Drosophila melanogaster: one gene and its partner. The protein of the gene in region 1 purifies or fractionates together with the protein of each later gene. This does not show direct contact. Each region holds a gene or a part of one and is shown on either strand. Other genes may lie near its edges. The genes, in order: NimB2 and CG10527.

What was found.
Region 2: the proteins of NimB2 (region 1) and CG10527 purify together in Drosophila melanogaster (affinity purification with mass spectrometry, with the first as the bait; one large-scale study listed by BioGRID). This does not show direct contact.

What each region holds. Positions count from the first base shown.
Region 1 is NT_033779.5:13,964,203-13,968,909, forward strand, and holds NimB2 (nimrod B2), read right to left. Parts: upstream 2,817-4,707; 5' UTR 2,723-2,816; coding exon 2,304-2,722; intron 1,810-2,303; coding exon 1,273-1,809; intron 1,195-1,272; coding exon 885-1,194; 3' UTR 851-884; downstream 1-850. Other genes in the region: NimB1 (nimrod B1), read left to right, coding at 1-254, 333-536, 592-850; NimB3 (nimrod B3), read right to left, coding at 3,285-3,492, 3,549-3,709; NimB4 (nimrod B4), read right to left, coding at 4,141-4,633, 4,695-4,707.
Region 2 is NT_033778.4:21,069,775-21,074,862, reverse strand, and holds CG10527 (uncharacterized protein), read left to right. Parts: upstream 1-2,073; 5' UTR 2,074-2,128; coding exon 2,129-2,138; intron 2,139-2,967; exon of another isoform or gene 2,968-3,059; coding exon 3,060-3,461; exon of another isoform or gene 3,462-3,802; coding exon 3,803-4,281; 3' UTR 4,282-4,495; downstream 4,496-5,088.

The DNA of each region.
Region 1 (4,707 bases):
TTTGTCCTGGATCAGGAGACCCGGCAGTTCTGCCGGCCGAAGTGTTCGCAGTCATGTGGCACCCATGAGGAGTGTGTGGCGCCCGGCCAGTGCGACTGCTCACCCGGCTACCGGAGAACGCCGGACTTGGGATGCCAACCGGTTTGTGCTCCGGACTGCGGATTTGGCAAGTGCGTGGCGCCCAACCAGTGCGAGTGCTTCGCCGGGTTCATTAAACGGCCCAATTGGAATGTATGCGAAGCTGAGTGCTACCTGTAAGAGTATCGATATATCTTTATCTAAAGTATCTTAAATTTGTCCGCCAATTTAAGCCATTTGCTTATCGCTTCCAGGAACTGCGAGAATGGGCTCTGTGAGTCGCGGTACAAGTGTCACTGCCGCGAAGGATATCGCTACGACGTGAACACCACCAGCTGTTTGCCGGAGTGCAGCGACAACTGTGGCCAAGGAAATGGGGTGTGCATTGCGCCCGGAGTGTGCCGCTGCTTCCGAGGATACGAGGTCCACGGTGCCGAGTGTCGGCCAAAGTGTGAGAGGTCTGTTACCCGGAGCAAAAGCTGTGTTCACCTTCATGAAGTTCCGCTTATTCAGCAGATTCTGCGGCAAATACGGGCGTTGTGTGGCTCCCGAAATCTGCGGCTGTGGTGAGGGTCAACAGCATTGCCGGAACGGAAGCTGTGACGATATCGAGCACTGCAGTTGCCCATCGGGGGAAACCCACTTCATCGATCGCTGTTTGAAGGCGGACCGCCTCAGTCAGCATCTCAACACTAGCGAAAAGAGAAAGCACTTCAATCGCCAACTTGCTTATGAGTTTAATGCCCTGATAGGGCGTCTATTTAATTTCTGATCCAAGACGAAACAATAAAGTGCGAAAGTCTAAGTTAGACGGCCTGGCAGGTCTGGCGTCCCTTGATGCCGCTCTTGATGAATCCCGGCCTGCAGATGCAGAAGTTTGGGGCACTGCAGTAACCGTTCTGGCATCCCTGCGGGCAGTGTGGCTGGCAGATGTTCCGCTGGTGCTCGTCCCTCACATATCCGGTCTTGCAGTCGCACTGGTTGTTGCCCACACAGACGCCGTTCAAGCACGGAAGGTCACACTTCGGCAGACACTCGGCCGACTTCCGGTCCCACTCGAAACCGGAAGCGCACTCACAGATGTCCGGTCCAATGCAGCGTCCGTTCTTGCAGGGTCTGAAATAGGGAAATAATTAAATTATCTAAACTATACATCGCAAGCAGATTTCATTGTTTTTTAAAGGCCACACTTACATGGAGCAAATGGGTTCGCAGCGTCCTTGGAGCTTTAGGTAGCCTGCGTTGCAGTTGCAGTGTCCTGGAGCCGTGCACTTGCCATTCTCGCAACTGTCGCACACTGGTTCGCAGGATCCATCGGCGGCCAGGCGGTATCCGTCGAGGCAGGCGCACTTGTTGGGCGCCACACAGCGTCCAAAGGAGCAGCCGGGCTTGCATTCCGGCTGGCAGTACTTACGAGTCTCCGGCTCAAGCGAGTATCCCTCGCGGCACTTGCACTCATTCCGCTCGTCGCACACTCCGTTGCCGCAGCCCAGGGGACAGGTGGAGATGCACTTGCCCTCGGCGGTGCGAACGTGGCCGGGTATGCAGACACAGGTATTCGGAGCAGTGCATATTCCATTCCGGCAGTCATCCGCGCAGATCGGCTCACAGCGGCGGTAGATGTGCGGATTTCGCTCATAGCCATCGCAGCAGACTTGGATGCGACTCATGTCCGGAGTGGTGCCATTGCCAACGAACTGATCCCGCGAATTGCGGAGCAGTGACGCGGTTCTGGATATAAACAAGGAAAACATTAGGTTTACTTAAACAACTTAAAATCATGAATGCAATGACATATATTTTTCCTAGGGAAACTAATAAAACAGATAATCAACATGTCTAAATAATACCTTAGTAAAGATGTGTGTCAAAATTGAAAAATAATTTTGTCCTTTAAAGTTTTAAACTACATATTGTCCAAGAGAATGCAAATGAAACTAGTCAATTCAACTAAATTTAAAAACTTTTCGCTTATCTACTGACTTTCCGCTCGTTGCATATTAAATTCATTCACATTATTAGCTTGGCACACATATACTCGTGAAATCAAGGCGCATTTTAATTATCAGGCCAGCGGAGGAAGTTGAGGTCGTTAGTTCACTATTTTTATGGCTTGCCTTGTTTTCGAATGCCTTCCGAATTGGGCGATAGCTTTAAGTGGAATTATAAAAGTGTTTTCCTCTCGATTGTTAGTATTTTTTGTCCGAAATTAACCCATCACTTACGGAACTTCCTTGTAGCACACACCACTGGCCATGGCAGATCTGGTTTTGTTGATGAACAGGGCCGTTTCATCCAGGACCTGGACACGATGAGCGGGCGGAGTCACCGGCTGCACGTAGTGTCCATAAAGGGGCGGCAATGTGACCGGTTGAAAGACCTCGGCGCGCACAAATCCAGCGGATCCCTGTTCCACATGGTTCTGCTGGTTCCAGGCGTAGTTGCTCTGGTTTTGAGTGCTCCAACCGTAGCTGCTCTGGTTGTAGCTCCTCCATCCCGACTCACTGCTATTGCCGGCAAGCTGCAGGTTTCCCGATGGCGGCTGCCGTGTCTTGATGCCAGCCGTCTTGAATTGTCCCTGACCCAGGGAACAGATGGCCAGCAGAACGCCCAGAGTCACCAGCTGGCACGATGATGACCTCATGGTGATGTCACTTGATTACGGATTTCGTACGTATGGAAATTGATTATGCGCCCACGTCCACGTCCGCTGGCGACTGTAGTTGCACATCGACTAATCGGCTCCCGATGCGAAGCTCCGGATCTCTGAGCCGCCATTCGCCTCCGGCAACCTCTTGTCCCCCTTCTAATCAGCACCTCGCCAATGTACCCATCAATGTGGCAAACGGAGCGAAGGTTTGCTCTCAGTAGCTTCGGGCAAAGCAAATCGATCATTGCCATAAATTGTGAGTCGTAAACAAAACTCATTGCTTTTGGGTAATTCCAAGAAAAGTTTGCGTACAACGATGACTTCAGGTATAGAGATTATTTCTTGATGAAATATCAGATTTAAAGGCACAGAACATAAAAATGATGAACCTTTAAAACTTATGAAGGTTTTTTCAAAAAAAAAATTTAACGTTTCTATGTAATCATGAATGGTCGTAAAAAACAGGTTAATAATATTTCAAATAGTAGAAGTATTGATCAAATAATGATAAAGTAAGCAACTCAAAAAATATTGTAATTGATATTATTTATTTTTGTTATTCCAAGACAAAACGACACCTTTTGTTACTCCGATAGTAACCCGGAGCACACTCGCACTCCTCGGGCGCCAGGCACAATCCATTGGAGCAGTCCTCCGAGCAAATGGGCTCGCACTTCAGGTTCTGGCTTGTTCCCTTATTCACATAACCATCGCAGCAGTAGGAGAACTGACGATTTCTGGAGTTGGGATTGATGGTTTCCACGCTGGGAGTGGGAATTGATCTTGAAATTCGGTCAGGCGTGCGGAATGGTTTACCTACGTGAGCGTCCTGTAACAGATGCCGGATCCCCTCTCGGCCAGAGCCTCTTTTCGCCACTGCGTAACAGGATCCACCGACCAGAATTGTGCGGCAGTGCGCGTGGGCAGCTCGATCCCCAGACCGCAGATAAGGAGTCCAATCAGCGTGGATGTCAAGTGCATTTCGCTCGGATTCAGCTGAAGGCGAGGTCGTATCAAAATGCGAGCGCAATGCTCGCCAGTGTCTCGGAGCTACTAAATTGTCGTCTGTGTCAAGCGCGGCATTTAAGTGTACGGAGATAGAAATGTTCTATATTCCTAGGAAGATAATTATGTGTTCAGTACCCGGTATTCGTGGGGTATGTTGACTATGCAGAAAATAAGTGATATACCAAATAATAAATACCTATTCAAATGAAACAACTTTCGAGAGGGTACCAAATCTTCGACGTACGTTTACAATTTAAGCTAGACTTGCTTCAAAAAAGCGAAATCCCAAGAGATGAAGCCACAAGATATTTCAGACACCCCTGATAAGAACACAACGTCTTGGGAAATGCATGAATATTTATTAGAGACTGCTCAGTGATGCTGGAAAAGTGAGAGCTCCGAACTCACAACCACCACATATCGCTGAGTGTGGTCAAGTTGAAGTGCCTGCCCAGCAGAAGATTGAATTCCTGGATGAGCGATGCGTTCACCTTGACGGGATTCATAGAGGCGTATGTGGTGACCGTGTCCGGCGACATGCAGCGATCGATGAATCGCGTCATGCCCACCTGGCAGCGGCATCTTCCCATGGCGTTGCACAATCCGTACTCGCAACGCTGGTAGGTGCGTTCCGGACCCGGGACTATGGCGCATCCGCACACATTCGGTGCGATGCATTTGCCGTAAAAACCACATCCACCCACGCAGACCGCCTCGCATCGCTCCCGATTCCGGACGTAGCCCTTGAAGCAGCGGCAGTTGCCCGGCGAGATGCACACCCCATTATCGCAGTTGTCCCCGCAATCCGGCAGACAGGTCGTCGTATTCTTATCGTATCGATATCCGTTCTGACACACGCACGTCGTTTTGTTTGCACAGAAGCCATTCTCGCAGGTCCTGAAAGAAATTTATTAAATTATTAAATGTAAAAGGAGAGGCGTCTAGTTCTAACACTCACATATAGCAATCGC
Region 2 (5,088 bases), on another chromosome or scaffold:
CAACCAGATTTACACTTGCCTCTGGAAATGTCGCAAAAGCCGCCAGCGGAAATGTTAATTGAATCGAGTTAATGTATTTCACCAATGAAAATATCTCTTAATTGAATGGCAAGCATGGCAATTGATGGCCCAGCATTCCAGAGGTCACTGTGTTATGCAAACTGAGCAATAAAACTAAATGGGAAAGTGTAAACAGATTAAACTTGTTTCGCCAGTTTATCTGAGCAGAATTTTTGGGGGCTCGTCAATGGGAAAAGTGCATTCTGTTGAAAAGTTATCTGAAAGATTAGATATAAATGATGAAATATTTTGACGGCATGCGTTTTATACTTATTAAGGTTAAACTTCAGACGCCTGACTCATAACAAACGAAACAAAGAACAAACTACAACAATGTTTCGCCTAGAGCCTTTAAAAATATTTAAGAAGCCATTTTCCATGCTTCTACTGAACTGACCCAAACAACACGAGTGTAACCTCTTTGTAAAATGATCTAGTACTACGCCACAGTTAAGAACAAATTAAGTCCTTTCCTGAGCAGTGCATTGTTTGTTTACTCGTCTGTCGTCGTGCACAGTATGTGTGTATGTATGTTTATATATTTTTGGCTGTGTGTTCAGCTGTCTCCGTTATAAATACACCAAGTTGCACGGCGTGAGCAATTGATCTACTCTTATCACAAGACAATTTGGCACGGCCACCGGCAGCTGGGAACACAAATAACAATTTGTTTATTTTAGACAATATTACTTCGTGGGGATTTCTGCGCATGCACGTTGTTTCGATATAAATGTAAAAAAAAGTGCGACCAACCGGCGAGACGAAAGAAAACCGACTGACATTGAGAGGCCAAGAAATAAGCAGTGGTGACGTAAAGAAAGATAATCCCGCTTCCGTCACAGGACGGATAAAAAAGCATGGTAAAAAAAAACAGTCTTACCATTTGGCACTCAATTAGAGGGTGACCCCAAAAGTATGCTACCATATGCTGCAACTATACTTTTTTAAATCTACTTCGGCAGCGCAATAAATAAATGATGACCCAATGGGTAATCTTATTATTATTGTTGTCTAGAGTCTAGCACATTATGTCAGCATCAACCATTTTGGACCCTTGCGGTGAAATCATTGACAGTAGCTTTTGATGCCCTGGTTTGGATATCCATGTGACCGCACAATATAAAAGCGGCACATGACGCCAAAATAAGTGACGACACTACTAACGGCAAACGAAGGCGAAACACAAGTTGATCGAATAGAATGTACCCTAGCTGAAATGAAAGTTAATCATATATTTTAGAAGCATTGGAACATCATAGAGTATAGAAGTAAGTCTCTTATACTCAAGAAATTCATTATTTTAAGATCAACCAATTCTTTTAACCAATTTATAGCTCATTATTTAATAGATTTTTTTAGGGCCTTCCTTTTTTGGAATAGGTCACATCATTAAGTGCCTTGCATACTAATTGTACACCTTGCATACAGTAGTAAATAGTAAATATTTATTCGCATAGCGATATGAAAATTATCATGCCCATAGAAAAAGCATTTTAGCAATAAAAGCTTGCTTATGGTTCTGATGACTAAGCAGCAGCTTTTGCCAACCTGAGTCATAGACCTCTTAAGCAAAACTAGGTGACAAAACTACCTTAGTTATACCGAAGCTTACATGCCCTTACCACGAGGTGAAAGTCCAGGGAACAAAAAGTTAAAAAGGAAATTACAATTATCTAATATTGTGCCCATGTACAAAATAGTTATATGTACATTTGTAAGTAAAGAAATTTTTTTTAAAGCTATGCCATTATGCTAGAAATTATCAGCCTTTAATTAAGATTTACATTTAAGAAAAATAATTGCCTTTAAAATAATTAAAGATAAGCCTTAGCATGTGCAGTATACCGCTATGTGAATAAGTTAGCTATTCGAGCTGGTACAGTTCGAATACTTTCTATATGGCCAACGATCTCCCACTTTGCAAGTGAGAGCGCCAAAGCTCTTGGAGCTTTTACTCTCTCACCGTCTCGGTTTTTTAGCATTGCTTACCTCGCCGGCATTTGGGCTCCATTGGGGCAGTTTGAATCAGAATCTCAGTAAGCGAACATCGTTGATTGAAACAGCAATCATGCCAATCGGTGAGTTTCCCAGTGGGTGTGGGTGGAGTGCCCTGAGCAGTTGGATAATGGAATGGATAATTGGGTGAATTTAAAGATAGGGAAATGTGCGGCGGAATTTTTGGCCCACGACCAAAATAGCATTGTGTCGTCCAATTCCTAGAATCGAAACATCCCATTCTTTATCTATGCTGGGTTTTTACCAGTGAAAAATACAAGCGACTTTCACCTTGTGATCGTCCAGATTCAATTAACGGCAATATGCTATACATATTGGACTGCCTTTATTTGGCCTAATTTATGACCCATCGAATTGATTCTCGACCAAAGGTGTCCGAAATTGTTCACCATATGCGATGAGTCACTGGTCTTCGCCTTGAACTCCGACAATAATCAATAGGAATTCAGCAGGGTTGACCCTAGGGAGGTCAGACGAAAGATGCACCTCCAATGATGTCATGCGAAATAATGCTGCTTGAGAAACCATTCGTGTAATCTATTCAAAGTGAATAGCACAAACCTCGCATATATCTGGGCAAATGTTTGTCGCTCGAGTGGCAGTAGAGCCGGCTCAGAGCTCAAAACTCGAAATTAAGCTTGAGTGGAATTAGCTAGAACAATTTGTTGCGAAGAACTGATGGCGATCTAAATGACATCATGCGAATGGTGCTAATAAGCAAGCGAAAACAAAAACAGACGCTAAACATGCTGATATATGTATGTTTATATGTACGTAGAAACCTAACAAACATAAAAATAGCTACGAATTCTTTCCAGTTCAAGTATTTTTTATGACAACATTCTCATGTTTGAGGTTGTTAATTCAAACCTCAAAACTTTCCCACCTTTCAAAGTAGTAGTGGGTACAGTTGGCTCAGAAAAACGTAGCCGAGTGTACAGTTGCCTCTGAGAATTTGTACTAATATGCCATCTCATTTGCAGAAGTCAACACCCCCGATAAGTTGGAGTACCAATTCTTCCCCGCCAGCGGTGGAGTTTTTACCTTCAAGGTGCGTTCCCCCAAGGATGCTCATTTGGCACTCACACCCGCGCCCGAGGAGAACGGTCCCATTTTCGAGATCTTTCTGGGAGGATGGGAGAACACCAAGTCGGTGATCCGCAAGGACCGCCAGAAGCCCGAAGTCGCTGAGGTGCCCACTCCGGGCATCCTAGATGCCGGAGAGTTCCGTGGCTTCTGGGTGCGCTGGTACGACAATGTCATCACCGTTGGCCGCGAAGGAGACGCCGCCGCCTTCCTTTCCTACGATGCTGGTAGCCTGTTCCCGGTCAACTTCGTCGGCATCTGCACGGGATGGGGTGCCAGCGGCACCTGGCTGATTGATGGTGAGTTTACACTCTGTTCCACGCCTTTTCTATCAAACGGAAAGCACAGGTGTTTACCCTCTCTGATTAGTTTACCCATCGTAATGATCTAAGTTAGCTATTGTTCTACAGCTGCTCAATGGCATCTATTGTCTAGTCAGCTGCTTCAGTTTGAATATCGAGTATTACTATACCCGCTACTCGTAGAGTTGGTACTATTGAGTACTGATCAATAACACTTAATTGCTCTCCAAGACTATATCCTTGCTATAAATATGTATTTGCCTATTATATATACATATATGTATAAGATTTGCTAATGATTTCATGAATTTCTAACAAATGCCACTATTTCCTTGCAGAGCCCGCTCCATCGGCTCCCGTCATGGGCTTCGCCGCGCCCACAGGAAGCGGACCAGGATGCTGGGTGCCCGCCGCCAACGGTGAGGTGCCACCCAACGCCCTCGAGGGAGGATTCGACAGCAGCGAGCAGCTGTACATCGCCCGTGCCCGCCATGAGGGCGACCTCATTCCCGGCAAGCTGCATCCCTCCCACGGAGTGACCTACGTAGCCTGGGGAGGTGGTGAGCACGGCCACGCCGAATACGAGGTGCTGTGCGCCGGCGGCGGCCAGTGGTTGCCCGTGGATGCCGGAAACATCCCGCCCAACGCCCTGCCTGCCGGAGAGACCGCCGAGGGCGAACCACTGTTCATCGGCCGTGCCACCCACGACGGAACTATCACTGTGGGCAAGGTGCAGCCCTCCCACGGATGCTGCTACATTCCGTACGGCGGCGAGGAGCTGGCCTACAAGGAGTTCGAAATCTATGTGACCAACTAAGCCACGGATCGAATGTCCAACGCACTGAAACAAAACGTTTTAAATCAGTTAATCTGAGCGCTTTACAGTTCAACTGGTCGCAGAAATTTTATTTTATTTATATGTGCATTTCTACTCAAAACTGTTAAAGAATCTCTATATTATGTCGAAAAGTTTATTACATTGTTCAACGAAATTGGTTAATAAACAATAAATATGTTTAAGAAAATAACATATCTGAAATAGGCACTTATTTGCATTCATTAAGCTTGGAAATAAATATAAAATAAGCTGAATAGCTGCTTTAATTTTTCAAAAAAGTGGTGTGTTAAGATTAGTTGGATTTTGGTTTTAGTGAATCTAACAGTTCTATCGCAATCATTAATCACCTTTTAATCCATTTGTACTCAATGAAATTAGTATCAAACATTCTTTTTTTTTAATAAAATCATGACTGAAATGAAATGACTGAAATCTATAGATTAGTTTAAGCAGGCAATTGAAAATAATTTACTCCCACTCAATGAAAATCTATTCCTAATCTCATTATCAGTGAACCCATAAAACACTCATACAAAGTTAGTTGAAATGTTGGCAGTACAAGGAACATATTGCTATATATATATATATTTATACCAAAACATGTTTTCTTTTATTCATTTTTAAAATGAATGAAACATATCATATTGGCCTATTTACATTTAAATTAAGGGTATAACTGAGTCGGTTTAGTCTATCAACTATATTAAAGTCAGTAACCAGCATGTGAAGTTTTTAGGTCAGCAACTAACCTTTTTATGTTTCTTTGAACACCTGGCTTTGAAATGG